Linked DNA regions of Neurospora crassa OR74A. The protein of the gene in region 3 purifies or fractionates together with the protein of the main gene of each other region. This does not show direct contact. Links are inferred from orthologs where the notes say so. Each region holds a gene or a part of one and is shown on either strand. Other genes may lie near its edges. The genes, in order: NCU04640, NCU02810, un-10 and NCU05270.

Region 1 (8,096 bases), on a different chromosome or scaffold from region 3:
TTTGCGGAGGATAGGGGGAGCGTCCTGTTTGTAAGCGTCACAAAGTCCGAGGTAGGTGGTTCGATCAACATCTGCAGTTGCTAGGTGACCTCGGACTTGAGTAAGATCACATCCATCGGCTTCACGTCGTACCAGTTAGAGGTATGTTTGTTGGTCTGTACAGGAAACACAAAAATAATTCTGTAGTTTATCTGGGTTCTATACAGTCATATGGACGGACTGGTGTGACTGGTTCACATCATTATCAACTCCCCTGCTCAAGCTCTTCTCTCCGTTGCCGTCAACAACTCGGGCATGGTAGCCGACCATTCAGGTGCCTGCTGCTGCTCTTTCAACAACGCCTTCGTGTTCTCCCTCACCCAGCTTACTCGCTCCTCAGTCAACACCATCTCCTGAGGCAACTTGAGCCCGTCATCCGCAAACGGCTTACCCGTGATCTCCACAATCATCCGGGCTGCCAATGCGGCCTGCGGCATTCCGTGTCCGGTGTACCCGGCGCACATATACAGATTCTCTCCGCCGCCGAGTCTTTCCGGCACCCGTCCGACCCAAGGATGCGAGTCTCTGCTGAATCCCATGATCCCCGTCCACTGATGCGTGGCCTCGAGTTCTGTAGTCTCATTTCCCTCCTTAGGGATATCCGTAGGCGTAGAGCCAGTTTTGTCTAGAGTCAGATCCAACGGATATGGTGCCAGGTTTTGCCTCAGATAGGTCGCGACGCCTCGCTCGACTTCATCATCCTGCCACACTCCAACCGCCTTGTTCTCCGCATGACTTCTCGCTCCTCCGTAGATTAGCTCTCCTCCGGGCAGAGGTCTCTGCATGAGATACTCATCCCTCGGAAACTGTTCCTCGCTGACAAACGCATAACTGTAATCCAACTCGGCCACTTTGCCACTGGTCGCATCCTGCGTGGGTGGCCGCAACGACGCAACTTGGCTCCTCACCGGAACGATCAAGTCCTTCATCTCCGGCAACAAATAACTCGTATACCCGTTCATCGCCAACAGCACTCTGTTCGCCTTGATGCTTCCCCTGCTCGTTATCACCGTCCACCTGCCATCGCCGACTTTTTCCAATCCCAAGACCGGTGTGTTCGTCTGCAAGTTGAACCCTCCTTCGCCCGTACCACCATTCCTAACCGGAAACCTCTCCATCAACCTCTCCAACACGCAAACCACCAACTTCCAAGGCCACAAACTCGCCGCATGCTTCTGCACCACCGCCCCCTTCGCCCCGGGAACTCTCAAATCCCTCAGCGTCGTCTCTCCTCCCTCTTTCACCTTTCTGGTCTCATCATCAACCAAATCCACCTGGCCCCTTAATCCCTCCGGCAACTTTTCCACCAACGCTTTCGCCCCCTCCCACACCTCCTCCGTCAAGTACGCATGAACAGTCTTGTGCGTTCTCCAATCCACAGCGCCCGCAATTCCCTGCTCCTCCACAAAAGTCTTGAGAAACTGATAAGTGGCCAGCTCGAATTCGGCAATGGACGGGGTGGAAGCCGAGTAGACAAAAGGCTGGCAGTGTCCGCCGTTGCGGCCGGTGGCGCCGGAGCAGGGTTGCCGGCGCGCTTCGAGCATTAGGATGTCTCTTTCGCTGCTGCTGCTGCTGCTGTTTCCTTCTTTTTCTTTCCCAGCTCCAGCGCCAGCTCCAGCCCCAGACCCAGATCCAGACCTAACAACAACAACCTTCGTTCCCCTCGTCTGCTCCAACAGGAACCAAGCCGCAAACGCACCCGTAATCCCCGACCCGACAATCACCGTATCAGCCGACTGCGGCAAATCATGCGTGGACCGATAATCATCAAGCCTCTGAGAAATATCGCTTGGTTGCAGCCAGTAGGAGGCGCTGGGATTGGCGGAGGGGAGTCCGGCCTGGCCTGAAGAGGAGGGACCAGGGTTGATGTTGCTGCTGCTGGTTGTGTTCATGTTCGTTTCCTGTTGGGTCGGTTGGGCGGCTCGGCCGAGGTCGCTGTGGTGGTGAGAAGAAGGGTGGGGGATGTGCTGGTCGACTCCTCTGGGGCCGGTTTAGCGGATGGTCATTTTGGCTTGTACCTGGTGGTTGTGATGATGAAGGGGAAGACTTGAGTGATGAGTGGAATCGAGCAGGTAAAGTAGTGATGAGTCACGTTACGCGTTGACTTGGAAAGTGTTGACTAATCTATCGAACAGACAGACGAGGTTGAACCGTTGAGTTGTTGCCTGCGGCCCATCGTCTTATATGGGTTTGTTGATGCAAAATGTGGAGGGGAAAGATTCTCCCGAAGCTAACTATCATGCATGTGCTCGGCATATCATGGATCGATCGCCAAAACATCGGAACGTAGTGTATACGCAATGTATACGCGTCAAGGTGAGATTTCGAACCTAAGCGGCCGCTTTTTCTCACCAATCGCGGAGTATCAAGGTTTATCATTTTACTCAACTGCCACTTTGAGTTTCGATAACATAATGTAGTTTATAAAGGTAGACTGAATGGCTATACATACTGCAAAGAACAGAGAATAATTCCTGTTCGCAAGATCTCAAAATCCATCGCTTCGTAATCCTGCGCTCAGTCAGCCTCTTCCTTGCTCTCCCAGTCTAGCTTGCTGACCATGGTCATGAATGACCTGAGAACCTCTGAATCCCACATCAGTCTAGATACAACCTCGCAGCCCTCATCCATATAAATCAGACAAGCTCAGGAAAAGAAGAAAGCCCTCCTCTTTATCAGACTCCCTATGCAAAGTAAGGATAAGTGTGCCACCATCATCAAAAACCAGAACTTTTTGTGTACCAATTCTTCATCAAGTATCGTCATATTAACCCGTACCCTACCGCGTAAGGAATTCACCTGATTTTGTAGCACAGACTCTCTCTTCCATCCTCTCTCTCGTGTACTGGAGATGAGAGATTGCCGTTCAGAGGGGCCGTGCTACTTCGTAAAAGACCCGTGCCCAACCAGCCATATACAATGCCGTCTTAACTCCGTCCTTGAAGCGTGAAAACATTGAAAAGCAAACTGCAAGGGCCTCGAAACAAGAAAACAAAAACCGCTTAACCCTGCATCTTCTTTCTCTTGCCGACCTGGGCAGAGAAACCGGTCTTAATGGCCTGGACAGACCGCCTAGAACCGCAAGAGTTGCAGGTAATGAAACTGTGACATGTCAGCATTTTGGGGCTATGGTCGTCGTAAACAGAGGCCAACTTACTAAAGACGGTTCTCGCCCTTGGAGAGCTCGGTGTTGGGGGAACGGCACGTCTTGCAGGTAACGTACTCTGTTGAGCATGTTAGCATTTGTAGTCAGAGCAAAACGTTGGGTGCTGGTGGTGACATTGTCTACTTGGGCGCAAAACGTCCAAACGACGACAGGATCAAATAGACATACCGATAATGTAGGTACGCAGAACGTTCTCGATCTGCTTCTGCTGGAAACGACCCTTGATGACCAGACGCCTGCTGCCGTCGACGGAACCGCTGGTACCCAATTCGGCGAAAAGGTAAGAAGTAACGTGCTCGTCGGCTCTCTTCATGCGCTTGCAAATCTCGGGCAGGTTGGCGAAGATGGTCTTCTTGTTGCCTTCACGGAGACACTGCGGGGGCGGGATCTTGTACGACCGTGTACCGGTAGAGGCGTGGTCGGGGTTCTTTTGCGAGAGAAGGGCGAAGAAACGGGACAGAAGAGCGTTGTAGCTGATGGGCTTGGTCTCGTCGTGGGCCCAAATGCCGGTGCCCTGGTCCATATCGCCCTCCTGCTCGTCCTCCTGGGGGGCGGCCTCCTCGCCCTCCTTGCCCTCAATGTTGAGAGCCTCCAGCTTCTTGGCGAACTCATCATCCTCCTTGACGACCTTCTTCTTCTTCTTTTTCTTCATGGTGAGGTCGATAGCACCGTCACCCTCGGCAGGGGCGGCCTCATCAGCAGCGGCGTCGGCATCGTCCTCCTTCTTGACCTTCTTCTTCTTCTTCTTCATGAGCGAAAGGTCGAGGCCATCATCGGCGGCGGGGGCGGCAGCAGCAGCAGCATCCTGGGGCTCGGTGGCTTGGGGGGCATCAGTAAAGGCCCCGAGAGCGGCGTGGAGGGGCGGCGTACGAGCAGAGTGGGACTGGGCAGTCTCCTTGATTTCGTCGGCGGGAGAGGCGTCCATGGTGACAGAACCGTCGGGGTTGACAACTAGCTTCTCGTCGGTAAAGGTGACAGACTTGCGCGAGGGGCGTCTTTTGATAGAGGGCGCCTAAAGGGTTAGTATATCGGAGTGGATAAGGCGCTTGTCGTGGGAGTCGCGATAGCGGTCAAGGATTTCGCCGTCGAGTGTGGATAGGAAAGCTCGGAATTTTTTGGGATGATTGGCGGCGTTTTCGCGCTGCAGAGTGCCAGAACTTTATGGTGGATTTTGGGCTGGGGGTGGAGGGAGAGGGTTGGCGCCTTGGAGGGGCAGTACACGTCAGGGGACTTGAGGGCTGGGGCCGGGGATAGGTATAATTGCACTGCGTAGGTAGCAAAGTACAGTGAGGGGTGTGCAGTGTGGTGAATGGGACTTTTTATTTCCTTAGTATTTTTGACTAGGCGAGAAGCGTGGCTCCCCCCAGGGCTCGAGGTGTCTGCCTCTAGCGTGGTGGTAGGGTCGGGGAGGACGGAGGGTGTGTTGTGTGGGCGTAGAGGTAGTGAGTGTGTACTGAAGCAAGGAGATCCATCCCAGGTACTTACTTCAGAATCCATGCTGGGCCACTGGTGTGTTTGAGAGTGTGGTGGTGTCTGTCTGTCTGTCTGTAGGTGTGTGATTGTCCGTCTTTTTCTTTGTAATCGATGTCTCTTCCGGTGGACTCTTTGTTGGTCGCAGAGAGTGGATTTTGTCGATGGATGAGATTAGGTAGACTTTGGGGTCGGGAGAGGTATCGATGCAGGCAGACTGATCTCAGCTTTCTTTCAGTTTCGGACCTGGAATTGTTCTTTGCGGGGACCTAGGTAGTTGGATGCCGCTTGGGTCCTGGTCTGGTTACCTACTACTACTGTCGTTTAGTTCTGTCGTTGGGCTGGAGACTGAGCGGAGTTCTTTCTGTACACACGGCTCTGGATGGGGCACCGGCACCACGCCTCAGCTGTGTTCACCTCATGACGTTGATTGAAGCGAAACTGTGAGTCAGTCTTCTCAATCACCTGACAAGTGGGGTGGGAAGAGCTCAGACAGCTGCCCGCCACTTGCAACTACAAATCGCCTCCGCTTCTCCATTTTCCAGGCCATGCAGCCCTCCTCCCTGCAGCACGGTGCCTTCAACCCGCTCGAGCCACGGCCGCACAGTCCGACACGGTTGGGTTGGCACTGGCACTTGCAGTCCGGTGCAGTGCTTGGCGGCAGCGATAGGTGAGTGGTGTCCATTCCAGCATCGCATAGCTGCACTGCTGCAGCAGTTGGTGCCGTGGCCCGTCATCGGTCACCGACAACAACCAGCTCCATCACGAACCTTGGAAGGCGCGCCGAGTCCGTAGAGGTATCCATCTCCGTGTATCGCTGTGTTCGTAACCGACAACGAATCTCCCAGCAGCAATCAAGTTCGTCCCACGCGATTTCTACAATATCCTACACGTCAGGCGTTACGCCGATTCGTACAGTGTCTCCATCCCGAACTATCGCAATTTGCCCGAGCTACGATAGCTACTTACAGTACCATCTTCACCGCGACAACCGACCGTGCGCCGGCGCCGACCACTTGCTCGCCTCATCCAAACCACACTGACGATAGCTACCTACTCCCGGCCAGAGACGCGATACCCTCAGACAGACAAATTGCGCATTCGGGACATCCAAAACCATGTCCACCCCCTCCGATTCCTACGTCCTCCACGACCACTCCCCGTCAACCGACAACGACGATGTCGACTCCCTCCCGTCCATCTCCAGCAGTATCCTAGGCTCGGACGACTCCGAGTACGACGACGAATCAGACGCACAAAAGGAATGGGAACAGAGTCTCGAGCAGCTGCAGCTTCTCTTGAACTTGGTGCTAATACCGTTCGCGGGCAAGTTTTTGGGGCGCAAGTTTGCTTATTGGAGTAAGACAAACCAAAACCAGATCTTGGGAAAGACAGCTTGCGCTGTGGGAGGAGACAATAACGACGATGCGGAAAGTCAGTTGCTAACATGGCCCGGCAGGTTGGGGACGGTACATGGAGTGGGCGCACGGGGTCAAGGTCCAATGGTATAACAAGACGCTATTCAACATTGCCGGTTGGATAGGAGCTGCTACGCCAGTATCAGTATGAGGGAGGCAGACAGGCGACCGTGGTGATGAGGTACTCGAGTCAAAGGCGACGGCAGCACAATTCTCGATACCCTATTTTTTCGGTATAATCTGGGATACCAGGGGTGGACACAGTGCTCTTTTGGCGTTACGGTATGGGAACACTAGCATAAAGGGGTATGTTTCGTTCTTGCACAGTTTGCGTTGCATTGGTGGTGAAGAATTACAGACATGTGTAGAATGCATGTGGACTGTCGTTATACTTGTGGAAGCAAGCGTTGAAGCTCTGCAGATACATCTGATCATCAGACAATGCCAATTATACCCATTACTATTGCTGACTTTAGGTTCGACTGATACTATTATAACATGCAGGTTCTGATCTTCCTTTCCTCGTTCGCCATATTAACCCAAGCCATCACTACGTAATTACACTGATCTGGGTATAATTGTCGAGGGTTGCGACACCGCACACCCATGATGAAGCGAATAGCTATCCATCACCATAACTCATCCTTGCTGCCATAGCCCTACTCATACCATCATCCAAGCATACCACCAAAACTATCCAGGCTCTCCAGCTTTCTTCAACACTCTTCCCGAGCACTTTCTCAAGGTTTCCAACCACCACCACCACTCCATCTCCCCGACCGCCTTAGACGACCACCTGTGACATGGTCGGCCCGCTCCTCACGCTTCCGCCCGTCCTCCTCCAGCTCATAATCGCCAACGTCAACGCCGCCGAGAACGCCGCAAGAAGCAACCACATGAACACCGTTCCCGCCTGAATCTCCCTGCACCTCTTCGCATCATCGGCACTCCCGTACGCGATCCACTTATGTCCATAATGATCATTCGCAAGATTTCCACAGTTCGGAGTACCCAACTTGGCCGCCAGCACGATGCCGGCGACGACGGTGAAGAGCGTGGCGGCGGCGTCGAAAATGAGCATGACGAGCGGAATGGCGACGCTCTGGAAAATGGCGGCGACTAGGCCGAAGAGAGCGACCACCCACGAGAGCGCGATGACGAACATGGTGAAGTTGATGGCGGCGCGGGCGGTGGTGGAGGCGTCGACATCGAGGGCGATGACGTTGCCAATGAGGCCGGTGAGGATGATGAGGAAGATGAGCTGGATGAAGCGGAGGATGAGGGGTATCACTTCCATTTTGGCGGTTGGTTTTGTTGGTGTGTGCTTGATGGGTGTTTGTTTATTGTTATTGTTTACAGGTGTTGGAGAGGAAGGAAAGGTTGGGGGAGCTCAGATATCACAAGTAATGTGTCCGAGCAGCAGCAGAACAGTCGTGGCGTTTGCGATAAGTTGCTTGTATAAGTTGGAGGTTGATGGCCCGGTGAAGTGTCTCGAATGCTGTAATGTACACGAACAGTGGAAGATGTCTCTTAACACCCTTTTGGATACACAAGTCGCGAAGAGGATTGCACAAGTTGAAGAATAGTCAGGAAAGAAGTTGTTGGGTGGTCGACCGGTTTTATCGGGCAAGTGTTGGTAGTAGTATTACATAGCAGTGAGGGAGTACTTAGCCGTGCCATTCACTTTGATCATTGTACTTTGTACACAAAGCACCTGTTTCTCTGCCCACCAACTGACGCACGACATTGTACATCCCATCATACTATCCGTCAGAGAAAGCGTCTAGACATCGAATGTCACTGCGACCAAGAGCGAGCCGATCGATGGAGGGGCACTCGAGGGACGGCAATTGTCATGGGAATGACATGGGGGAAAAGAGCGCCAAGCAATGCGAAGCATCATCGCCAGGGTGGGGCGACCCCGGCCGATGACGATATCACCTAGACAGAGGGGCATGATGTGCGAGCTTGGGGTCCCTTCTTCCGATTTCTGTCTTGAACCC
Region 2 (8,182 bases), on a different chromosome or scaffold from region 3:
CATTAAAGAGTCCCGCCTCGATCCATTCTAGAGACTCGTCATCTGATCTAGACCAGCCATCCCCTGACTCGCCCTCATTGGGGCCCAGTCTTCTAGAAAAGGAGGAGGCAAAAGATGACGCGCACGACAATGTCGTACGAGACAACGCCAAGACCGCCGACGACGAAGACGCCGATGAAGATGAATCCAAGAAGGAGGAGGAGAATGTAGAGGTCAAGACTGAGCAGGCTCAAGATGGAGAGGTGGAGGACGAGAAGCACGAGGAGGAACAGTCAAAAGACCGCGACACCGAAGAAGCATTGAAAGGAGACGAGTTCGAGGATGCCAGCGAAGAGCTTGAGACGCAAGATACAAAGGAAGAAGACACAGAGGACCACTTCGACGAGGCAGAACCCAGTCAAGAGAACGAGAAGAAGGTCGAGCCAGAAGAGGACAAGAAGGACGATGTCAGCTTTGACCAGAAAGAGGAGAAGCCTGTTGAAAAAGATGGGTTCGACAACGACGACGACGACGGATTTGCTGAAGCAGGGGATAAAGCCCCCGACGATGACGGGTTTGGTGATGACGACTTTGGGGACGACTTTGCTGAGCCAGCTCCGGCTGGCGCCGATGACTTTGGGGATGACTTTGACGACTTTGAGGAGGGAGCCGAGGCCAACAACGATGCTGACTTTGGCGACTTTGACGATGCCGGCTTTGACGACGATGACTTCCAAGAAGCCGAAGGGTTCTCAGCTCCAGCACCTGCTCCTCAGCCGCAACCACAACAACCGCAGTCCTCATTATCCTTCGTAAGTCCCCAACCCAGTTACTCCCTCTACGTCCAACACACACTAACATATCCCCTAGCAAATACCCGACTTCACCCACCTTTCCGCGTCCGAGATCCTCTCCCTCACTTCCCCTTACCTCAACGCTCTCTTCCCTCCCTCCCCCGACACCGACGGCGACGACTCCTCCTCCTCCCCCATCCCCACCCTCAATGTCTCCAACGGCATCACCGACCCCATCTTCCAACACCCCCGCTCCGCCTCCCTCTGGTCACAGCTCGTCGCCCCTCCCCCACTCCAACCCCCCGACTGGATCCGCTCCCGCATCCGTCGTCTCTTCCTCGTCTCCCTCGGCGTCCCCGTCGACCTAGACGAGATCCTCCCCGCTTCCAAACAAAAGAAACTCGTCTTGCCTTCGTTAGGCGACCCCGACGCAGCAGACGACGAACGCACAGGTCGTTCGCGACGCGCTAGCTCTGCCGCCGCTGCCTTCCGCAACAACCAAAACAGCCAAAACCTTACCACTACTTCGACTTCGAATTCAAGCCGCAACCCATCCAAGCAACCACCCGTCAACAAAACCGTCGCCGCCGCCGCAGGATCAAACACAGAAGGAAGCGCCAACCGCTCTTCCAGTTCCGCTAGGAAGGGACCACCGCCCGAACCGGTATTCGACCTAGTGGCTGCCAAGCAGCTGTGCGAGACGACGGATGAGGCGCTTTCGGGGATGACGGACAAGGAACTCAAAGAGCATGTTCAAAAATTGGAGGCGATGCAAGGGGTGGCGTCCGAGGTGTTGGTGTATTGGCAGCAGAGGACGGATGAGAAGATTGGTGATCGGGAGGCGTTTGAAGGGGTGATTGAGAATCTGGTGAAGCATGCAAGGAAGGTTAGGAAGTAAGTAAGTAAGTACGTGAGTACATAAGTCGGGGTGGGGGAGGTGGGTGTGATTGGGTATATATATATGTGAGAGTGTGGGTGGTTGGTTTGGTTGGGGATCAGGGAATGGAGGGGGGAAAGGAAAAGGATGATGATTATATTCTATTCTTCTATTCGATGTACAGGAGGTGATTACTTTGATAGACTGAGACTTGTTATAATATCAGGTGTTGTAATTAGCGAAGGACAAGAAGGTTTTTTTCGGGTGTGGTTCAGTTTCAAAAGGGGGAGGGAATTGTGATAGGTATGATAGACTATCAGGTCTAGAAAGAGAAAAATGAATAGAGTTACGTACGGATACATACTCGACTGTGTCCCATGAAGAGTATTGTTAGGTATATTCTTGGACTCTTTCCATCTATCCGAGCCATTACCATAGCCTAGTATAATGGTAAGATGGTCATTACGTCGAAGACTCATGGCGGAATCAATGTATTTATCTTCTCTACTTCACTCTTTCAAGTTTACTCTTATCATCACCACTGGCTAATAAACTCAATCCAAGTACGTCGGACCTTGACAAAATCAACGTAATGGCATCTTCTCTACCTCTACCACTACTTGGTAAACCCAAAGTACGTCGGTACCAAACATAACTTTTTGTACAAAAACTCCTAATGGTCCGATAATGCGCTTCTCTTCACGAGTTCCTCTTTTCACAACATTCCTCGCTCATCTTCTTCAACGAATCGTATGACCAGTCTTTCTACTGTCCTCGGCCCCAAGTTGGATAAAAATAAGACCATGTACAAATTTCACAAGGCTAGTTTTTAGAAACACAGGTCCCGGTTTCCCCACGCTACGCCGTTTCCTTCCGTGTCCGCGCCCAAGTTTCCATTCTTTGATCATCCTCCAACGACTTTTTGGATATTCATCATTAGAGCAACCAAAAATTAACAACCTTTTAATTTTCCTCCTAATCAAGCGATGTATAAACTTTGGATATTTTCTGGTCGCTCGCTTAAGAGGTAGAAGGCTCGAGGGTGACACCGCTGTTTTTTTTGTTAGTGGTTATTCAGTGGTGATAAGTTATGGGGTAAAGAAATAGAAAAGAAAAAAACTTACGCAGCAATGGTAGCCCAACCGATAAGACGCCAGTGCTTCTCGATACGTCTGGAAAGGGCAACCTTCTCGCCGATGCTCGTGCAGGCAGGGGAGGTGAGGATGAGCTTGGCGGCATCCTTCTTAATGGCGGAGACCTTGGCACCGGTGGAGGTGGAACCAATGTTGACCATGATGACTTCGTTCTTGGCAAGCTTGTCGACCTTGGCCTGCTTGCCGTCGGCGGTGCGGACACCGAGAAGGCGGCGGAGGAGGTAGAAGTTAACTTCGATCTCGGAGTAGATTTCGGGGAGGCGGCCCTTGAGACCGAGGACGAAACCGACCAGACGATCGGCACGGCAAAGGGTAGGATCGATGCGGGTACCAACACCAATGAGACCACCGGGCACGGCGTACTTGAGGTCGTTGGCCTCGGAGTTGAGGGAGACAATCCTGCTGAAGATGGGAGTGCACTTGAGGTCGCCCTTCTCGTCACGGGTGACGATACCGGGACGGATCTCAATCTCGTCGCCGAGCTTGAGGACACCGTGGAGAATGGAACCACCGGCAACACCACCCTTGAGCTCGTCGATCTCGGCACCGGGCTTGTTGACGTCGAAGGAACGAATGACAATCATCTGGGGGTCCATGGAGAAATCCCTGGGAGGAACGGGGATGGTGTTGACGATGGCATCGTTGATGGCGTCAATGTTGAACTTGAGCTGGGCCGAGATGGGGATGATGGGCGACTTTCCGGCAACGGTACCACGGATGAACTTGAGGATGGACTCGTAGTGCTGCTTGGCGGCCTCCTCGCGCATGAGATCGACCTTGTTCTGGAGGATGATGATCTTGTCGAGCTTCATGATCTCGATGGCGGCCAAATGTTCGGAGGTCTGGGGCTGAGGGCAGGATTCGTTTCCGGCAATCAGGAGGAGAGCGGCGTCCATGACGGCGGCACCTGAAAGCATAGTGCTCATGAGAATATCGTGACCAGGGCAGTCGACGAAGCTGGGAGGAGGAGACACATGGTCAGTCATTCATTGGCGCAAATGATGTTATGTTAAACAACTTACGAGACATGGCGCAACAGACGGTAGGTGCCCTCGCAACCCTCGCGCTCGCAAGGGGGATCAACCTCCTTCTCGGACTTGTAACTCCTGTAGCATGTCGGGCGAGGGCATGCTGGGTTGTCGCACTTGTAGATCTTTGCGTTGGCGTAACCGAGCTTGATTGTGATGTTGCGGATGAGCTCGTTCTTGAAACGGACCGTCTGGACGCCCGAGATGGCTTTTACTACTGTCGACTTGCCGTGGGCGACGTGGCCGATGGTGCCGATGTTGATGGTGGCCTGTCGCGCAATGATCTCGGGGGTGAGGGGGCTGAGGGTCTTGACGTCGAGGTCCTTGGGATCGGTCTGGGGAGGAAGGGGAGGTCTCTGGACGACGGGGGCGGGGGCCTTCTTGAGGGCCGACTTGCGCGGCTTGGCCTCGACCTCGTTGTCGGACTCGTGCTGGTCGACGTGAGACTCGTTGTCGGAGCCCGAGTCGGACTCGACGATGTCGTTGCCAAACTTGTCGCCGTTGGTAGCCATGATTGTGGATGTGGGTGGATGGAGGTGAGGTGTGGAGGTGAGTTAGGTTGGGTCGTCAAGTCGATGGATGGATGTGTCGCGGGGCAGTAATTTTTTCGCTTTCGGTGAAGCAACCCCTCTTGCTGTGTACTGTGTAGTGGGTGGTGTATGCCTGGTAGTTGCTGTGTACTTTTCTAGACCCTGCTCCTTGGTGTGGGTATGTATGTGGGTGTCCTACTGTCTCCGCAACGGGACTCGCGATATTTGTGATAGCGGACGTTGTTGGTGGACGGTAGAGGTAGTAAAACTGGACCTGCCAAAATAGTGGGGTTACAGCGAAGGTTGGAGGAAGGCTGAGAAGAAAAACTGCCTGCCTGGTGGATGACTCTGACGATATTTGACTTGTATTTGGCTTGTGCTAGGTCGGTATTTTCCTGTGCTGCCGCTGCCAGCTGCGACCAACAAGGCGAGAGCCTCACACATTCCGCTCTGCGAACCTGCCCTGCGTGCGCCCAACCCTTCCCGCCTTTGCCGCTGCCCCACTAAGCACGGTTTTCGGTTTAGCCCGACCGTCGCCTGCCCCACAAGGGCCGATAAGAGCGCGATAAGGACCAAGTAAGTGTAGTGCTAAAGTCCAGAGCTCAGTCACGGTTCAGCTTCAACATCATTGAGGTGACTTTTGGAACCTCTCTCCTATCAAGAGTTCGCCATCTACACTTTTATCCAACCCTCTGTCCCGTCTGTGTCGGCAGAAACTTACTCACAGCGTACACGGTAACTCAACGCTGAGAATTATATCAACTGAACGTTGAGAACGGGTACATTGTATCGATCGGCGAGTTGAATCCGGTTTCTTTCTTTGAGAACAATCGTTACTCTGCAACGGCCTCTCCCATTGACACCGGCATCCTTCGACGTACATACAAACGTTTCCGGGTCGATAAGCTGATCCATCATCAACAACGCCGAGTCTGCTTGTCGTCGTCAACTCTGAGGAGCACCCACGATGCTGGTCATGGCCACAGTCTCAACTCTATGAAGCTTGGTTAAGGGCGTCATCAAAGTCGTACCTGCTGCCAATGCCTGACTGTGGAGCGAAAAGGTAGGACACGAGGTGTCTTCTCCTGGATTCGACCCTTTCCCGTCAAGTTATTCGATATCTTCACGAAAGGTGAGGCTCATCGCTCTTGGGATAATAAGGGTTCAACTAGGGCTCAGTCTCGGGATAATAGCGCTGTGAAGAGTTGAGCCAAGTGGCCCGAATGTTGTCCTCCGTGATCTTGGACTGAGGCAGGGAGTAACTGCAACAGCTGTGCAAGCGTTACAGGATCATGTTATGTTTTGAGTGTATTTTGCTGGGAATATGCTCGATATACATCAAAACTACATCGGCCACCAACACGCTTCTCTCCCGGCCCCCAAAACACGCCCAAGCCCTTGTTTCACATCCAACCCAGATGCTTGTTGGATCGGAATCGGGAAGATTCCGGGGCCAAGACCTGTTCAACAGCGCGTACAACCGTCTCTGATGGTTCGAGAAGCAGTCTAGTAGGATTCAAGCCACAACCGATTCACAGCAATGACTATTGGAGCGGGGAGAAGACTCAGCCGGTTACACGAGACATATCCGCTTGACCGCTGAATGGCCGTCAGTCACGTCCATAACCATGCTGGGAGCTTGATCATCGCTGGGTTGGGGTCAAGAAAAATAGCACGGGAGTGTCTATTCAAGTTCATTCGGGCTGAGACTGGGCAAACGGACCAAACGATGAATTCACAACTGGCATGGCCGAGCCACTCCTATTAATACCTTGTCAGTTCTTCTTAAGAGGCGCACTGCTGAGGATTTGTCTTCTGCAATGAGCTTGGTAATCATCGTTTCACGACATGATGTGGCCAGCACTACCTACGGCACCACTCCCCAAAATGGGAATTCTTGCTGAGCTCGGATTTTTCTTGTCAAGTCATCGAACCGCATCAATGGTGCCATGGGCGATGACTTGCAGCAGCCGAACAGCGTGCTTCCACCGAGCCACCGAGCCACCGAGCCACCGAGATGACCGAGAGAGCGGGTAGGAATATAACGCAGAACTGGCTGTCCATTATGGTTTTGATGGCGATATCACAACGGTGGTACTGAAGCCTTAGTACACAACCTCCGTCTCGGCGGGCTAAAAATACTAAACCGGTGGCAACACCCCCAAGTTGATGTGCTAAATACTGGCACTTCCATGATACTCTGTGCTTACGAACACCCGATGGAGGGCGGGCAATATCTGTGTGCTGACAAGTGCAGCACAAGGTAACCTCGCTTCCAGGTGTAGATACGATTTTTCGTCAGAGTTGAGGACGGCATATAAGTTGCCAAGCTATCTATGGGCGGAAACTCGTAAGCTGAGATGTCCGAGTTGGATAACATATTGGCTGTCAAATGCAAGTCCAGAACAAGGACATCACTGTCGCGGACTTGTGACCACGGCTCTGATATTCAAGGTATTGATCTTTGCGAGTCCAGAACATACACCCAAACACCACCAGCCTTGTATCGTCTTTCCTGAATCAAGCTCGTTGCATAGTCCGTCTTACACTCACTCAGCAGCACTGCATCCGTCCTAGCGGTGTACATGTCTTGGTACCATGCCATGTTGTCCGCTGTGTTACGGAACACCGACGTCGTTGTTCGTCGCTGTTCCAGAGGGACCCCGCTCCCAAATAGAGAAAAGCGTGAAGAACACAGAATAGCTGGAAAGTCGGGAAGCAGAGACCACACGTGTGATGGTGTGACATTGACAAGTCTGAAGAAGCCGCCGGGTTGCTGAAATCCCCGCCTTCACCAGCCCTTGGCTTTCACATTAATGAACATGGTCAACTGACGATGCTGGTCGGCAAGTATAAAAGATTACTGTGTCCCCGGCGCGTGATTCCCGCGCGTTCCCGCGAAGTCATGGTCAAACATCACACTCAGAATCGTGAATTTGGCCCTTTCTGGGTCAGCGCCCGATATTAGATTGGGGGACCATGATTTGCGCAAAAAATGGAGTGTGAACAGCGTGGAGCGAGCGAGTCGCTAGTCGCGGAGAAGAGAGCGTAGAGGAGGTTTGTGTGGTACCGCTTGCCGCCCAGCAATGCATGGTTGGCAGCTCTATCACAGGATTGTGCCAACTGATTGGCTACACATGTGAAAAGCCAAAACAAACAGCCAATTAGAGGACTCGGAACACTCCAGGGTAGGCAGTTGGATGGCAGGGGACCAGCGGAGATGTACGGCAGGGGTTCTTGTGAAAAAGGCCCGCCCTCCAAGACTTCCTCAGCAACGACAACGACGACGACGACCGCTTGCCGCCCAACCACGGGCCGCCGTCTCCTAGTGCTGCTCTGAGCTTCACGCTGTCGATGATCTTGGCGGTACATCTGGACGATGTCGTTGGCCTGCCTCTTCCTGGTCGAGTCCGGTAAAAGTGCTCCCCCATCCGCCAGCCGCCCCCAGCCAATGGATTCGTGTTACCCAACCTTGCCTGTCCGAACCAGTGATATTTTCTCCTGTGACCAGGAAGGCAGAACACAAGAGAGAGCATGAAGGGCTCTGGTGTTGGGGGCGAGAAGACATGAGGAGAGAAGGAGGACTCATCATGAGCAGTCGATTGCTATTCGAGTTATCTGAGCACATTTCCGTCTTCTTGGCCATGTGTGCACACGCAGGGCCATCTACATGTTGGTGTTGACGCCGCGGGATCGTCCATGCCGTCAACAGGCTGTTGTTATTCCCCTGGTCCGTTGCTACTATATCGAGAAGAAGAAAGGTTGCAACCCCACTTCCGGTCTTACATCTTTTCTTACGGCGTTCGAGTCTTATGTGTAG
Region 3 (4,246 bases):
CCTGGACCTTGGAGATGTTTACGAGGACCTTGGCAGCGGCGTTGTCGAGAGCGATAGACTTGAGGATAGTAGCACCGTCGTTTGTTACTAGAATCTCACCGGTCGAGCTGGATGTTGTGATGGTGCGGTCAGCACATGACGGCGGCGTGTCAAGCATGTAGGCGGGGGGTTTGGTGAACAAGCATACGCAGACTGGAGGATCTTGTCCATGCCCTTGGGACCAAGGGTGCTCTTGACGAGGTCGCCAACAGCAATGGCGCCGACGAAGGCGCTGAGACGGGCATTCTCTCCCTTCTCTTCTGTGGTGCCCTCCTCGAAGATCTGGGTGGGGCTAAACGAGGCCTGGAGATGGTCAGGCGGTTGGTTAGTTACGGTGAGCTCGGAAAGATGCCCAAAGTGATGTACAAATCAACTTGCCATGATGTAGAAGAAGCTTAAGTATTAGACAAAAGGTCGGGGATACGGGGTGCACAGGGGGTTGAGGTTGGAAGAGAAGAAGAAGCAATTGAAGCTTGGTAGTACTATATTTTGGGTGGACGTTATGGATACCCTGAACGCGAAGCCTCCTTTCTACAACAATCTGCCAGCAGCGGGACGGATGATGCTCTTCTGAATTCCAGGCACTTTTTGGACGGCAGGCCACGGCAAAATTCCAGAGCTTCCTGTTCCTCCTTTACCTCACCGCCTGCGACAGGTGGCATAAAATGCTTGTCACTCGCATGCCAGGCCGTCTGCCCCTCCTTTGACAGACAAAATGTCCACTTGAGGTGAGTGGGCAGCAGGGGACCCCACTTGGACGTCTTCCGTGGGGAAGGAAGAAAGGGGGGGGGAGGGGAGCTTTGGGCTGGCAGCGGCGGCGGCGGCGGTGGATAGTGGTGGACAGCGCAGCCAGCACTTTGAGAAGCGAGGAGCCCAGGGGACTACCGTCGAGGCTCAAAGCCAAGAGGAAAGGGAACCTGAGTCGGTGCAACGAACGAACCGCAACCTTCAGTCCACTTCTTGACTTCAAAGTGATGGCAACTTGAAACCTGTAAACTCTGCTGAAAGCGGACAGACGTTGCCATGGTCAATATTGGTTCCGTGCACAAACGAACAATGCTTAGCCCACTGCCTGCCGCCATCATTTTGTTAAAAAGAAAGGAAACCGAAAAAGTTGTAGTTGATGAAGAATAGAGACAGCATCGAGAACTTGACTTTCCCAGGCTGAGTGTTCATTGCGACTGTGCAATATCCATGATATCTGAGGCTCCGTCTTCTTTAACCTCCAAACTATCCACCCCATCATTGCATTCACTGACATAAATTCCCATTTTGGCGATTCCAGAGAGAGGGGATCTGGTAGGGTAGCCAATCAACGTGCATTATTGCCTCCTAAAGTGGGGCATTCCCTTCACTGTCTTCCCTGGTTCTCTGGCCGTTCTCACTGAACCCCACCACAATCTGCGCGCTGCGCACAAATTCTCACAATAATCCTGACGACCGCATAAGCCAGCACGTTGTTCCGCCCGCGGCATCGCAGAAAAAATCCGAAGCGGCCAGCCCAGAATCCCGTCATCCACCAAGTCCAACCACCACCACCACCACCAGAGGCGCCTTCCCGACCCGTACATCGCCAGCTACCACTAATCCCCGGCACCCACCAAGCATAACAGACTGCCGATTAATTGCCCAGCATGGCGCCCTCTTTCGACCACCTCCGCGACGAGGACCTCGACGAGGATGACTTCGATGTTGATGAGGTCGACATTTCCGATATCCGCGAGAAGTACGAGGTTCAGCTTGAGCAGGGCTACGATGCCTTTGTCGTTGTCGACGGCCTCCCCGAGGTCAACGAGGAGCAAAAACCCAAGCTCGTCAAGTTCCTGTTGAAGAAGCTCAACACGGTTGGCAAGACCCGGGAGGACCTCATCTTCATGCCCATGGGCGAGGATGGAAAGTCGCTGAGGTATGCAACACAGCCGCCGCCTTCAAAATGATGCGCATCTACAGACCGGCCATCCATCGCCGCGCCCGAACCGCGATGTGTCCCTATGCTGTGCATGTTGGCTCCCCGACCAGGCCACTGATATGAATTCTGTAGGTTCGCCTTTGTCGAGTACTCGTCGCCCGCCGAGGCCGCTGCCGCCTGCAGACAGCTCGACCTCGTCCCCCTCGACAAGAAGCACACCCTCCGCGTCAACAAGCTTACCGATGTCGACCGCTATGGTCGCGAGGGCCGTATCGATGACGAGTACACTCCTCCCAAGATCGAGGAGTTCCAGGAGAAGGAGCACCTCCGCTCCTTCATGGCCGACCCCAGCGGCCGCGGCAGAGATCAGTTTGTCATGTTCAGGGGAGAGTCCGTTGGTGTCTTCTGGAACAACGAGAAGGATACGCCCGAGAATATTGTTGACCGCCAACACTGGACCGAGACCTTTGTGCAGTGGTCGCCCCTCGGTACCTACCTTACCTCCGTCCACGCCCAGGGTGTTCAGCTTTGGGGTGGTCCCTCGTGGACCAGGCAAAGGCGTTTTGCCCATCCTTTTGTCAACCTTGTCGCCTTCTCTCCCAACGAAAAGTACCTTGTCACCTGGTCCAACAGGCCGATTTCGATTCCTGAGGAGGGTCACCCCGCTCTTTCTGTAGAAGACGACGGCAAGAACTACGTTATCTGGGATATCGAGACCTCCAAGCCCCTTCGTTCTTTCGCCCAGCTCGACACCCCCGCCGCCGCCGAGGGCGAGGCTCCCAAGAAGGCCCCCAAGTTCCCCTGGCCCGCCTTCAAGTGGTCTGCCGATGACAAGTACGTCGCCAGGCTGAACCCCGGCCAGTCTATTTCCGTCTACGAGCTTCCGAGGATGAACTTGTTGGACAAGACCGCCATCAAGATCGAGGGCGTTGTGGACTTTGACTGGGCTCCCGCCACCGTGCAGCGCGACGGTGTCAAGTCCTACGAGCAACTTTTCTGCTTCTGGACCCCTGAGATTGGCAGCAACCCCGCCAGAGTCGGCTTGATGAGCATCCCCTCCAAGCAAGTTGTCAGGTCACTGAACCTCTTCAGCGTCTCGGATGCCAAGCTCCACTGGCAGTCCGAGGGTGCTTATCTGTGCGTCAAGGTTGACCGTCACTCCAAGTCCAAAAAGTCTCAGGCTACCACTCTTGAGATTTTCCGTGTCAAGGAGAAGGGAGTCCCTGTGGAAGTTGTCGACACCATCAAGGATACCGTAATAAACTTTGCCTGGGAGCCCAAGGGCGACAGGTTCGTTATCATCACCACCACCGAGCCTGTCGGTGCCACCGCGGTTCCCCCCAAGACGTCGGTCGCTTTCTTCTGCCCTGAGAAGGCCAAGGGCAATGCTGTTGGAAACTTCAAGCACCTCCGCACTCTCGAGAAGAAGAACAGCAATGCCATCTACTGGTCGCCTAAGGGACGCTTTGTGGTCGTTGCCACTGTTGCCAACACTCAGAGCTCTGATCTCGACTTTTACGACCTCGACTTTGAGGGCGAGAAGCCCGAGTCCGACAAGGACCTTACCGCCAACCTTCAGCTTATGAACACCGCTGACCACTACGGTGTCACCGACGTTGAGTGGGACCCCTCGGGTCGCTTCGTTGCCACCTGGGCTTCCGCGTGGAAGCACTCTGTAAGTATCATTGGTATTAAATCAAGATGACGTGCAGCAGAAATCGCTAACGTGAAACAAAAACAGATGGAGAACGGATATCATCTGTATGACTTCAAGGGTGAGCAGCTGCGCGAGGAGGCTATCGAGAAGTTCAAGCAGTTCCAGTGGAGGCCGCGCCCCGCTACCCTCCTTAGCAAGGAGGAGCAGAAGGCCATCCGCCGCAACCTCCGCGAGTACTCGAGGATCTTCGAGCAGGAAGACGCCGAGCGCATCAGCAGCGCCGACGTTGCCGTTGTCGAGGCCCGCCGCCGCCTCCTCGAGGAGTGGTTCGCTTGGCGCGAGGCCATCAGGCAGGAGGTTGCCGAGGAGCGCGAGATCTACGGCCTTCCGGCGGATCCCGTTGCCGACCTCATCAAGGCCAAGACCCCCGAGCTCGCCACCGACCAGGAGGAGCAGGTCATCGAGGAGATCATGGAGGAGGTGTTGGAGGAGACCGAGGAGATCGTTCAGTAAATGTGCGAATAGGCGGCGGCAGTAGTTTGATATGTTGTGAAGTTACATGGCGTACCGTTTTTTCCCCGTTTTTCGAAAAGGTCATCTGAGGGTACAGTGAATAAAATGAACTGGGTTCTTTCATATCT
Region 4 (7,983 bases), on a different chromosome or scaffold from region 3:
AACGGGGTTACTGTCCAAGTGACCACCGCCTCCATCACACTTTTCAAGAACGAGGCCCAGTCGCATGCAGACGAGTGGTACGAAGCTCCCAAGCCCACGGGTATGAGTTATGCTAAAAAAAATCTTACAGGACCCGATTGTCTTTTGACAAGCTTCTGCCAGATCAGTCGCAGGTATCAGTGTCGGACGCTTGCGTTACGGATGACTGGATCACAGTCTCAACGCATGTTGGGCCACAGTTCAGAATTTACAGTTTCAAGTTCTATGATACAGCAGTTGTTTCTCAAATCCAGTTCGACGTACCTGGGGACGTGACCTCGCTACATCACAGCCAAAACCTTGGGATCATTGTCGGTCTTTGGAAGGACGGACGTCCATATTTGCTCATCCGTTCCCCAACAACTGAAACAGCCACACAAGATATCGAGGAGATTGATATTACAGAACGTAAGGTTGACCCAGCACACCTGGGCCAGCACAATCCCATGCTGCCTCCTGCTTTGGTTTCCATTATACTGATGTGTTCATAGGACTTGTGACATCGGCTGGATTTACCGGATATCGAGATGACGTGCCTCTCAAAGCAATCGGGAGCATCGCTTCTGTCAATAACGCAATACTTCTAGGAACCAGAGGCGGAGAGCTCATTCACATTTCGAAGGAGTGGAAGGGTACTACAATGGCCTACTACCAACAACTCGGACTGACCGCGGTGAATGTGACTGCGGCCCGGCATTCTCTGACCGCGAGACCGAGAGTGCTGGTCTCCTGCGATCAAGCCTTGATTGAAGTACGACTCGATGAGCATGGACCGAATGGCTCTGTCCATGACTTGGCAAAATATCGTGTCATGCCTGTCAACGCGGGCGATCTTGGTGCTCCTCTACCACTTGTAGAGTACGGCGTGGCAATCGATATTCCATGCGCAAGTGAAGGATTTACCCCTATCCTCATGTTGGCGGGGTCGAGCGCAATCATTGCCGAGCTACACCAGGAGCCTGGTCCAGCTCATCGATATATCACGATTGGAAAGACACCAGTCAAGACGTTCTTCTCACCCAACCTACGTTGCCTGGTGGTTGGTGTTAATGAGGAGGGAAACAAGTCGACGCTGATGTTCATGGATCCTGACACAGGAAAGGACATCGGAAGACCGAGCCACAAAGCAGGAACTCCTGTTCAGTATATTGTGGGGCTGGGTAAACCTGACGACCGAATCCATGGTCTGGCCGAGTGGGAGTACAAGAAGAACAACGGGACGTGGCGCTATCTCCTTGTTGGTACCAAACAAGGCCAGCTCATTATTGTGTCGACGGAAAAGGAGCCATCGAACGGGGACCACCCACCTTCGATAAAATACTGGACGCGATTTAAGAAAAACTGCGATGGACCGGTCTACTCAGTAATAGGACATGAGGAGAGCGTGATCTATTGTGTCGACCAGATAGTCCACTGGGATGTGCTGGACCCTGTCGAGAAAAAGCTGAAGCCACGCAAATTATGTGACTTGGGCTCGTTGGCTCTGGAGCTTCACATCTCCGGGACTAAGATTCTTGCCCTGACGTGGGACGGTTCACTCCAGATGATCGACCCGGCGCTTGACGACGTCATTGAGAACTCTGCAACACTCGAGTTCCACGATCCTCGCAATGTTGTACCAACGTCGTCGATGCAAATTGGAAGCAATGTATTCCTGGTGGCAGATAAAGACCGTGGCGTGGGCGGTCTTTGGCAATGGTCCAGAACACCAGGAACCCATAACTGGGCTGAGTTCAGGGTGCTCTTCGAGGGGACGCTTCCTGTCAGTATCAGGAAGTTCCGGCGCGGCAGGACACGGCCAACGTGGGAGCAAGGAGCCTGGAACGCACCCAAGTACGGCCGGCTCATTAGCACACCGAACGATGCCGAGATGTTGGGAATAGCCATGGACGGCACCATGTATCACTTTACGCTGCTTGATCAGCACGCATTGCGTCTGTTGCGATTCATTGTCAACTTGTATAACCTCAGGGGGAAGAGAGACGAGGAAAGGCTGCTGCACGCGGAGCCGAACCTGGGTCCCACTGAGCCGTCGCATGTGGATGGTGATGTGCTGAAGACACTCTTGGATGCGGAAGTCTTGCAAGAGCTGATCAACACGGAGGAGCTGTTGGCGCGGTTCAAGAGCCTGTTGGATAAGTTGGATGGAGGCAAACATACTGCTGAGTGGATGGGCGAGGGCACTGCGGACCAGTATTTTGAACTGGCGTATAACGTGTTGATGTATTATCTTAGGCAAGTTTACTAAGTGCTTGGAATTCTAAGGCGGGGGGGGGGGGGGGGGGGAAGGGCAAGATACACTGGTAATAAACGGACGTGTGATCCAGTGTCGGCCTACAAGCCGTCCTGATGAATGCCTTGGTGGTGTAGCTACAGCATAATAGAAAAGCGAATAAAGAATATCACTAGCAACATCTGGTTAATGAAATACCCATTATGACAAGGTGAGGGAGTTGGCCTGCCCCCTTGGATGGAATATCGCACAAAATACACCAAAGTGGTAGAAAGTAAATACAGAAATTAGCCCAGCAAGTGCCCCACTTGTGCCTTAACAAGCAGGTGCCCCGCATTCTGCACCAACGAGTCGGTCACTGTACTTGTACGCGGGAGTGCAGGAGCTTCCACTTCTTTTTCACCACTGCACTGTACTGTACTGTATTTGTCTTGACTGCTGTCTCCAACAGTCTGTGCAGTGTCAAGTCAAGGGCTTGGTCAAAGCGACACCTCCTGGCTCCGGCACAAGTAAAAAAAAAAGTTTGGAGTGGCGATCCTTGTCTGGATTTTTCTGCTGAATCGAGACTCCTTTGACTTTGCGACTTCGACTACTTGGGATTGAGTTAGAGAACGGGACATGATTGCCGTTTTTTGACCGTAGACGGAGACAATACCAAACACTTTATACGGGTTGAAAGAAAGCGCATAGGCAGACGGTGTAAGTACAGGTACTGAGATAGGTACGTACCTGACCTCTATATAGTGTAGCAACAAACCAGAGCGGGATTCGATACAAAGAACAACGAAAGAAAAAAAAAAGATCCACGGTGCCAAGTACCTACAGTACCATCGATCCACTCTGCAGCACCACCACCGAAAAGTGATACAAGTGACAAGCCCTATCCCGTCGACAAGGGGGGACCTACAGCACCAAAAAAAGTACGCCGCCTGCCTTCTTTAGCAGCCAGCCATATCGCATATAACGGCCCAGTAGCCCCAGTCGGCCGCCCCACGAACCCACCACCAGAACCACCTAGCGAGCAACGAGGTCTTCACCCGGACTTCGACTTTCGTCACAAGGAGAGAAGGAGAGCCCATCAGGATCCTCTCCCCCGCCCATCCTACCGACGACATCCCCGCCTCAAGGTATTCCCCGGTCGACTACCAACAGTCCAGTTAGCCCAACATGGCGCCCAAGAAGAAGGGAAACAAGAAGGCCAACGATGACTGGGAGGCCGAGCTGGGCGAGTCCATCGCCCCCGTCAACAACAACGGCGCCGATGCTGCTGCCGCCTCTCCCGCTGCCGCCGACGACGAGGCCGCTTCCGGTGGTGGCGGTCTGATGGAGAGAATGCGCAAGGCCAAGGAGAAGCGCAAGAAGAAGGGTCTTGCCGACGACTGGGAGGCTGAGCTGGGCGAAGACGCTCCCGGCGCCGAGAAGCCCGCTGCCGCCGAGCCCGTCCCCGATCTGTCGGCCAAGGTCGCCGAGGAGGCCAACCTCGACGACGAGTTCGCTCTCCCCGAGAAGAAGGGCAAGGGTGGCAAGGGCAAGCAGCAGCAGCAGCAACAGAAGGCTGCTCCCGCCGCCGCCGCCAAGAAGGACGAGGATGCTGCCGATGAGGATGGCCCTAGGGTGTTGACCAAGGCCGAGAAGGAGAAGCTCAAGAAGGAGCGTGAGAAGCAGCGCAAGAAGGAGCAGGTGAGTACCCAGTCATTATCACTATTACCCACTAATGACTATACATACATCAGACACAAACGGAAGACTAACAACAACTTCTTTTCACTAAACAGGCTGCTGCTAAGAAGAAGGGCACCACACCCGCCGCCGCCGCCAAGGCCGAGCCCGCAAAGGAGGAGAAGAAGGCCGAAACCCCCAGCCCCGTCTCGACCCCCGCTTCCACTCCCGCCCCCGAAGCCGCCGCCGGTGGCAAGAAGAAGAAGCTCCCCGCCCACCTGCTCGCCCTCCAGAAGCAGCAGGAGGAGCTGCGCCGTCGCCAAGAGGAGGAGGCTAGGCTCCTCGCCGAGGAGAAGGCCAGGATAGAGGAGGAGGAGCGCGCCGCTGCCGAGGAGGCCAAGCGCAAGGAGGAGGAGCGCGCCCGCAAGAAGGAGAAGGAGAAGCAGAGGATCGAGCAGCTCAAGAAGGAGGGCAAGTTCATGACCAAGGCCCAGAAGGAGGAGAAGGCCCGCAACGAGAGGAAGCTGCAGCAGATGTTGGCGGCCGGTATCAAGGTCAACGCGCTCGAGGGTGAAGAGTCCAAGAAGAAGCCTGTCTACGACGACAAGAAGAAGAGGGCTGCTAACAAGAAGGTGAGTCTGTCCGGGATTCTTGCTACAATTACGGTATACTATGGACGGCGCTAACCAGTGTCTACTTGCTACAGAAGGACGAGGAAAAGGCTCTCGCCGAGGCCGCTGAGCGCGCAAGACTCGCCGCTGAGGCTCTGGTCAAGGAGCAAGAGGAGAAGGCCCGCATCGAGCGCGAGAAGGCCGAGAAGGAGGCTGCTGCCAAGGCTGAGGCCGCCAAGGCCGCCGCTGAGGACAGCGTCGACGAGGACTGGGAGGCCGCTGTTGCCTCTGACAAGGAGGATGTCAAGGACAGCTGGGACGCCGACTCCGACGAGGAGGAGGAGACCAAGAAGGAAGAGACCAAGAAGGAGGCTTCTAAGCCCGCCGCGGCCAACGGCAAGACTCAGGCCAAGAAGGAGGAGTCCGAGTCCGAGTCCGAGTCTGAGGAGGAATCTGAAGAGGAATCTTCTGAAGACGAGGAGGCTACCGCCAGGGAACTGGAGGAGGCCCGGAGGAAGAAGGAGGCTGCCGAGCGCCGCGAGAAGGCTCACCAGGCCGCTCTGGCTGCCAGGTCTGCGGACAACCTCCGCTCGCCTATTTGCTGTATTCTTGGTCACGTCGATACTGGTAAGACGAAGCTGCTCGACAAGATTCGTCAGACCAACGTCCAGGAGGGTGAAGCCGGTGGTATCACTCAGCAGATTGGTGCCACTTACTTCCCCGTTGAGGCCATCAAGCAGAAGACGCACGTCGTCAACAGGGACGGCAAGTTCGAGTTCAAGGTTCCCGGTCTTCTTATCATCGATACCCCCGGTCACGAGTCTTTCTCCAACTTGCGTTCGCGTGGTTCTTCGCTCTGCAACATCGCCATCTTGGTTGTCGATATCATGCACGGTCTCGAACCCCAGACTCTCGAGTCCATGAGACTGCTCCGTGAGAGGAAGACGCCCTTCATCGTCGCTCTCAACAAGATCGATCGTCTTTACGGCTGGAAGAAGATCGAGAACAACGGCTTCCAGGAGTCGTTGGCCCTCCAGAACAAGGCTGTCCAGAACGAGTTCAAGAACCGTCTCGAGCAGACCAAGCTCGCCTTCGCCGAGCAGGGTTTCAACTCGGAGCTCTTCTACCAGAACAAGTCCATGGCCAAATACGTCTCCTTGGTCCCCACCTCTGCCCACACCGGCGAGGGTATCCCCGACATGTTGAAGCTCATTGTCCAGCTTACCCAGGAGCGCATGGTTGGCTCTCTCATGTACCTCTCCGAGGTCCAGGCTACCGTTCTCGAAGTCAAGGCCATCGAGGGTTTCGGTATGACCATCGATGTCATTCTCACCAACGGTATCCTCAGGGAAGGTGACCGCATTATCCTATGTGGTACAGAAGGCGTCATCAAAACCAATATCAGAGCCCTGCTCACGCCCGCGCCGCTCAGGGAACTGCGCCTCAAGTCGCAGTACGTTCACAATAAGGAAGTCAAGGCCGCTTTGGGTGTCAAGATCTCTGCCCCCGGCCTCGAGGGTGCCATTGCCGGTTCCCGTCTGCTTGTCGTCGGCCCCGACGACGACGAGGACGATCTCGAGGACGAGGTCGAGGCTGATCTCGCCTCGCTCTTCAGCCGTGTCGAAAAGTCCGGCCGCGGTGTCTCCGTCCAGGCCTCCACCCTTGGTTCGCTCGAGGCCTTGCTCGACTTCCTCAAGGAGTGCAAGATCCCCGTCGCCAACGTCGGTATCGGTCCCGTCTACAAGCGTGATGTCATGCAGTGCGGTATCATGTTGGAGAAGGCTCCCGATTATGCCGTCATGCTCTGCTTCGATGTTAAGGTCGACAAGGAAGCGCAGGAGTATGCCGATCAGCAGGGCGTCAAGATCTTCACTGCCGACATCATCTACCACTTGTTCGACTCGTTCACCAAGCACATGGATGAGCTGCTCGAGAAAAAGAAGGAGGAGTCCAAGCTCCTCGCTGTCTTCCCTTGCGTGCTCGCTCCCGTTGCCGTCTTCAACAAGTCTGGTCCCATTGTTATCGGTGTCGATGTCGTGGAGGGTCAGTTGAAGATCAACACGCCCATTTCCGCCGTCAAGACGAACCCCGTTACTGGCGCTAGGGAGGTCATCGATCTCGGTAGAGTGTATGTTCCTCCTTTTTTTTTTCCCTTTCACCCCATGATCCTCCTCTCCATGACATGATCACTAACTGATTCATGCAAATGTAGTACCTCCATCGAGCGCGACCACAAGCAGATCCCCGTCTGCAAAAAGGGTCAACCTTCCGTCGCCATCAAGATTGAAATGGGCGGCAACCAGCCCACGTACGGCCGTCATCTAGAGGAGAAGGACATGCTCTACTCCAAGATCTCGCGTGCCTCGATCAACTGCCTCAAGGAGTTTTACCGCAAAGACGTGACCAACGACGAGTGGCAGCTGATTATCAAGTTGAAGCCCATGTTTGACATTGCTTAAACCAACAACCACTATCTAAGTGGTAGGTAGGTAAGTAGGTCAGAGGTGGGAAGGTGGAGACCGTTGGGGGAAGCAGAAGATGGGGATTTTATTATCATCATGGTCATGGTCAAAAGGCATACATGGACATGAGCATGGACATGGACATGGATAAAAATGAGAATGGAGAATGAATGATGCCACATGGATGGTGGAGGGGGAGGTATTGGTGGGGGAGGCATAGGAATATAGGCAAGGCAGGGAATGGAAACACAAAATTACTGCATTGCTGGTTGATGGATCGATGGATGATGGTCTTGGGAAATTATAGTATGTCTTGTCTGTATGTACGTTTATGAAGGTTTGTTTTCTTAGTTGCACTAGTAGGTATCATAAAAGGATGTTTGATTTGATGGGTTAGTAGTTACTTGTACTGGTCCTGTTCGTTCCCATTCGTCGTCATCGTAGTCGTCGTAGTCGTCGTCGTCGTCGTCGTCGTCGTCGTTGTCGTCGTTGGTGATGCATGTCGTGATAAAACCAACCGGTTCGACGATAAGAGAGGTAGGTACACATGTAGTGAAAGTCCAGTCAGCCAGCCCACACTCTAATAAAATGGGAGAACTGAAGTTAGTAAGTATGTAGGTCAGGCAAGCAATGGTGGTGATCTCTCTCTCTCTTGAAAAGCGAGCGACAAGCCAGAAGTTTTTTAGTTTTTTTTTTTAGTTTCAAGTCAATTTTTTTCACAATTTGTTTATCATTCATATCGGTCTTCCATCATCCTCCCCCCTTTCCGATTCGATTCAACAACGAACGCCCTTATATATATATATTTTTTTATCATAACGGACGGACGGATGGTGTGAAATCTTAACGCGGCGGCATAGGTGGCATGGAATTGCATGAATCCATGAATCCATGAATCCATACTTAGGGTACCTATCCCATCTTTTGCTTTCTTGCTTACGTACTTGCGTGCTTGCTTTCTTGTTAGCTATCCAGCTAT

Evidence for each region.
Region 1: the proteins of un-10 (region 3) and NCU04640 purify together in Saccharomyces cerevisiae (affinity purification with western blotting; 4 studies listed by BioGRID, with this or other methods). This does not show direct contact. The link is inferred for Neurospora crassa OR74A from reciprocal best matches to the Saccharomyces cerevisiae genes PRT1 and SUI3.
Region 2: the proteins of un-10 (region 3) and NCU02810 purify together in Saccharomyces cerevisiae (affinity purification with mass spectrometry; 3 studies listed by BioGRID, with this or other methods). This does not show direct contact. The link is inferred for Neurospora crassa OR74A from reciprocal best matches to the Saccharomyces cerevisiae genes PRT1 and GCD11.
Region 4: the proteins of un-10 (region 3) and NCU05270 purify together in Saccharomyces cerevisiae (affinity purification with mass spectrometry; 6 studies listed by BioGRID, with this or other methods). This does not show direct contact. The link is inferred for Neurospora crassa OR74A from reciprocal best matches to the Saccharomyces cerevisiae genes PRT1 and FUN12.

The regions. Positions count from the first base shown.
Region 1 is NC_026505.1:1,361,690-1,369,785, forward strand, and holds NCU04640 (eukaryotic translation initiation factor 2 beta subunit), read right to left. Parts: upstream 5,069-8,096; 5' UTR 4,703-5,068; coding exon 4,691-4,702; exon of another isoform or gene 4,218-4,690; coding exon 4,076-4,217; intron 4,025-4,075; coding exon 3,374-4,024; intron 3,264-3,373; coding exon 3,197-3,263; intron 3,142-3,196; coding exon 3,042-3,141; 3' UTR 2,395-3,041; downstream 1-2,394. Other genes in the region: NCU04641 (FAD dependent oxidoreductase), read right to left, coding at 258-1,931; NCU16952 (hypothetical protein), read left to right, coding at 5,794-6,034, 6,135-6,244; NCU04639 (non-classical export protein Nce102), read right to left, coding at 6,878-7,390. UniProt on the Saccharomyces cerevisiae protein: Component of the eIF2 complex that functions in the early steps of protein synthesis by forming a ternary complex with GTP and initiator tRNA.
Region 2 is NC_026501.1:9,044,241-9,052,422, reverse strand, and holds NCU02810 (eukaryotic translation initiation factor 2 gamma subunit), read right to left. Parts: upstream 4,759-8,182; 5' UTR 4,345-4,758; coding exon 3,827-4,344; intron 3,762-3,826; coding exon 2,775-3,761; intron 2,702-2,774; coding exon 2,671-2,701; 3' UTR 2,211-2,670; downstream 1-2,210. Other genes in the region: NCU02809 (hypothetical protein), read left to right, coding at 1-791, 850-1,671. UniProt on the Saccharomyces cerevisiae protein: As a subunit of eukaryotic initiation factor 2 eIF2, involved in the early steps of protein synthesis.
Region 3 is NC_026507.1:3,330,318-3,334,563, reverse strand, and holds the start of un-10 (eukaryotic translation initiation factor 3), read left to right. Parts: upstream 1-1,446; 5' UTR 1,447-1,673; coding exon 1,674-1,945; intron 1,946-2,080; coding exon 2,081-3,623; intron 3,624-3,689; coding exon 3,690-4,118; 3' UTR 4,119-4,246. Other genes in the region: NCU02207 (T-complex protein 1 subunit beta), read right to left, coding at 1-107, 188-342, 418-420. UniProt on the Saccharomyces cerevisiae protein: RNA-binding component of the eukaryotic translation initiation factor 3 (eIF-3) complex, which is involved in protein synthesis of a specialized repertoire of mRNAs and, together with other initiation factors, stimulates binding of mRNA and methionyl-tRNAi to the 40S ribosome.
Region 4 is NC_026504.1:5,512,524-5,520,506, forward strand, and holds NCU05270 (mitochondrial translation initiation factor IF-2), read left to right. Parts: upstream 1-3,151; 5' UTR 3,152-3,439; coding exon 3,440-3,952; intron 3,953-4,047; coding exon 4,048-4,563; intron 4,564-4,637; coding exon 4,638-6,670; intron 6,671-6,754; coding exon 6,755-7,001; 3' UTR 7,002-7,407; downstream 7,408-7,983. Other genes in the region: NCU05271 (hypothetical protein), read left to right, coding at 1-77, 131-447, 531-2,287. UniProt on the Saccharomyces cerevisiae protein: Plays a role in translation initiation. Translational GTPase that catalyzes the joining of the 40S and 60S subunits to form the 80S initiation complex with the initiator methionine-tRNA in the P-site base paired to the start codon.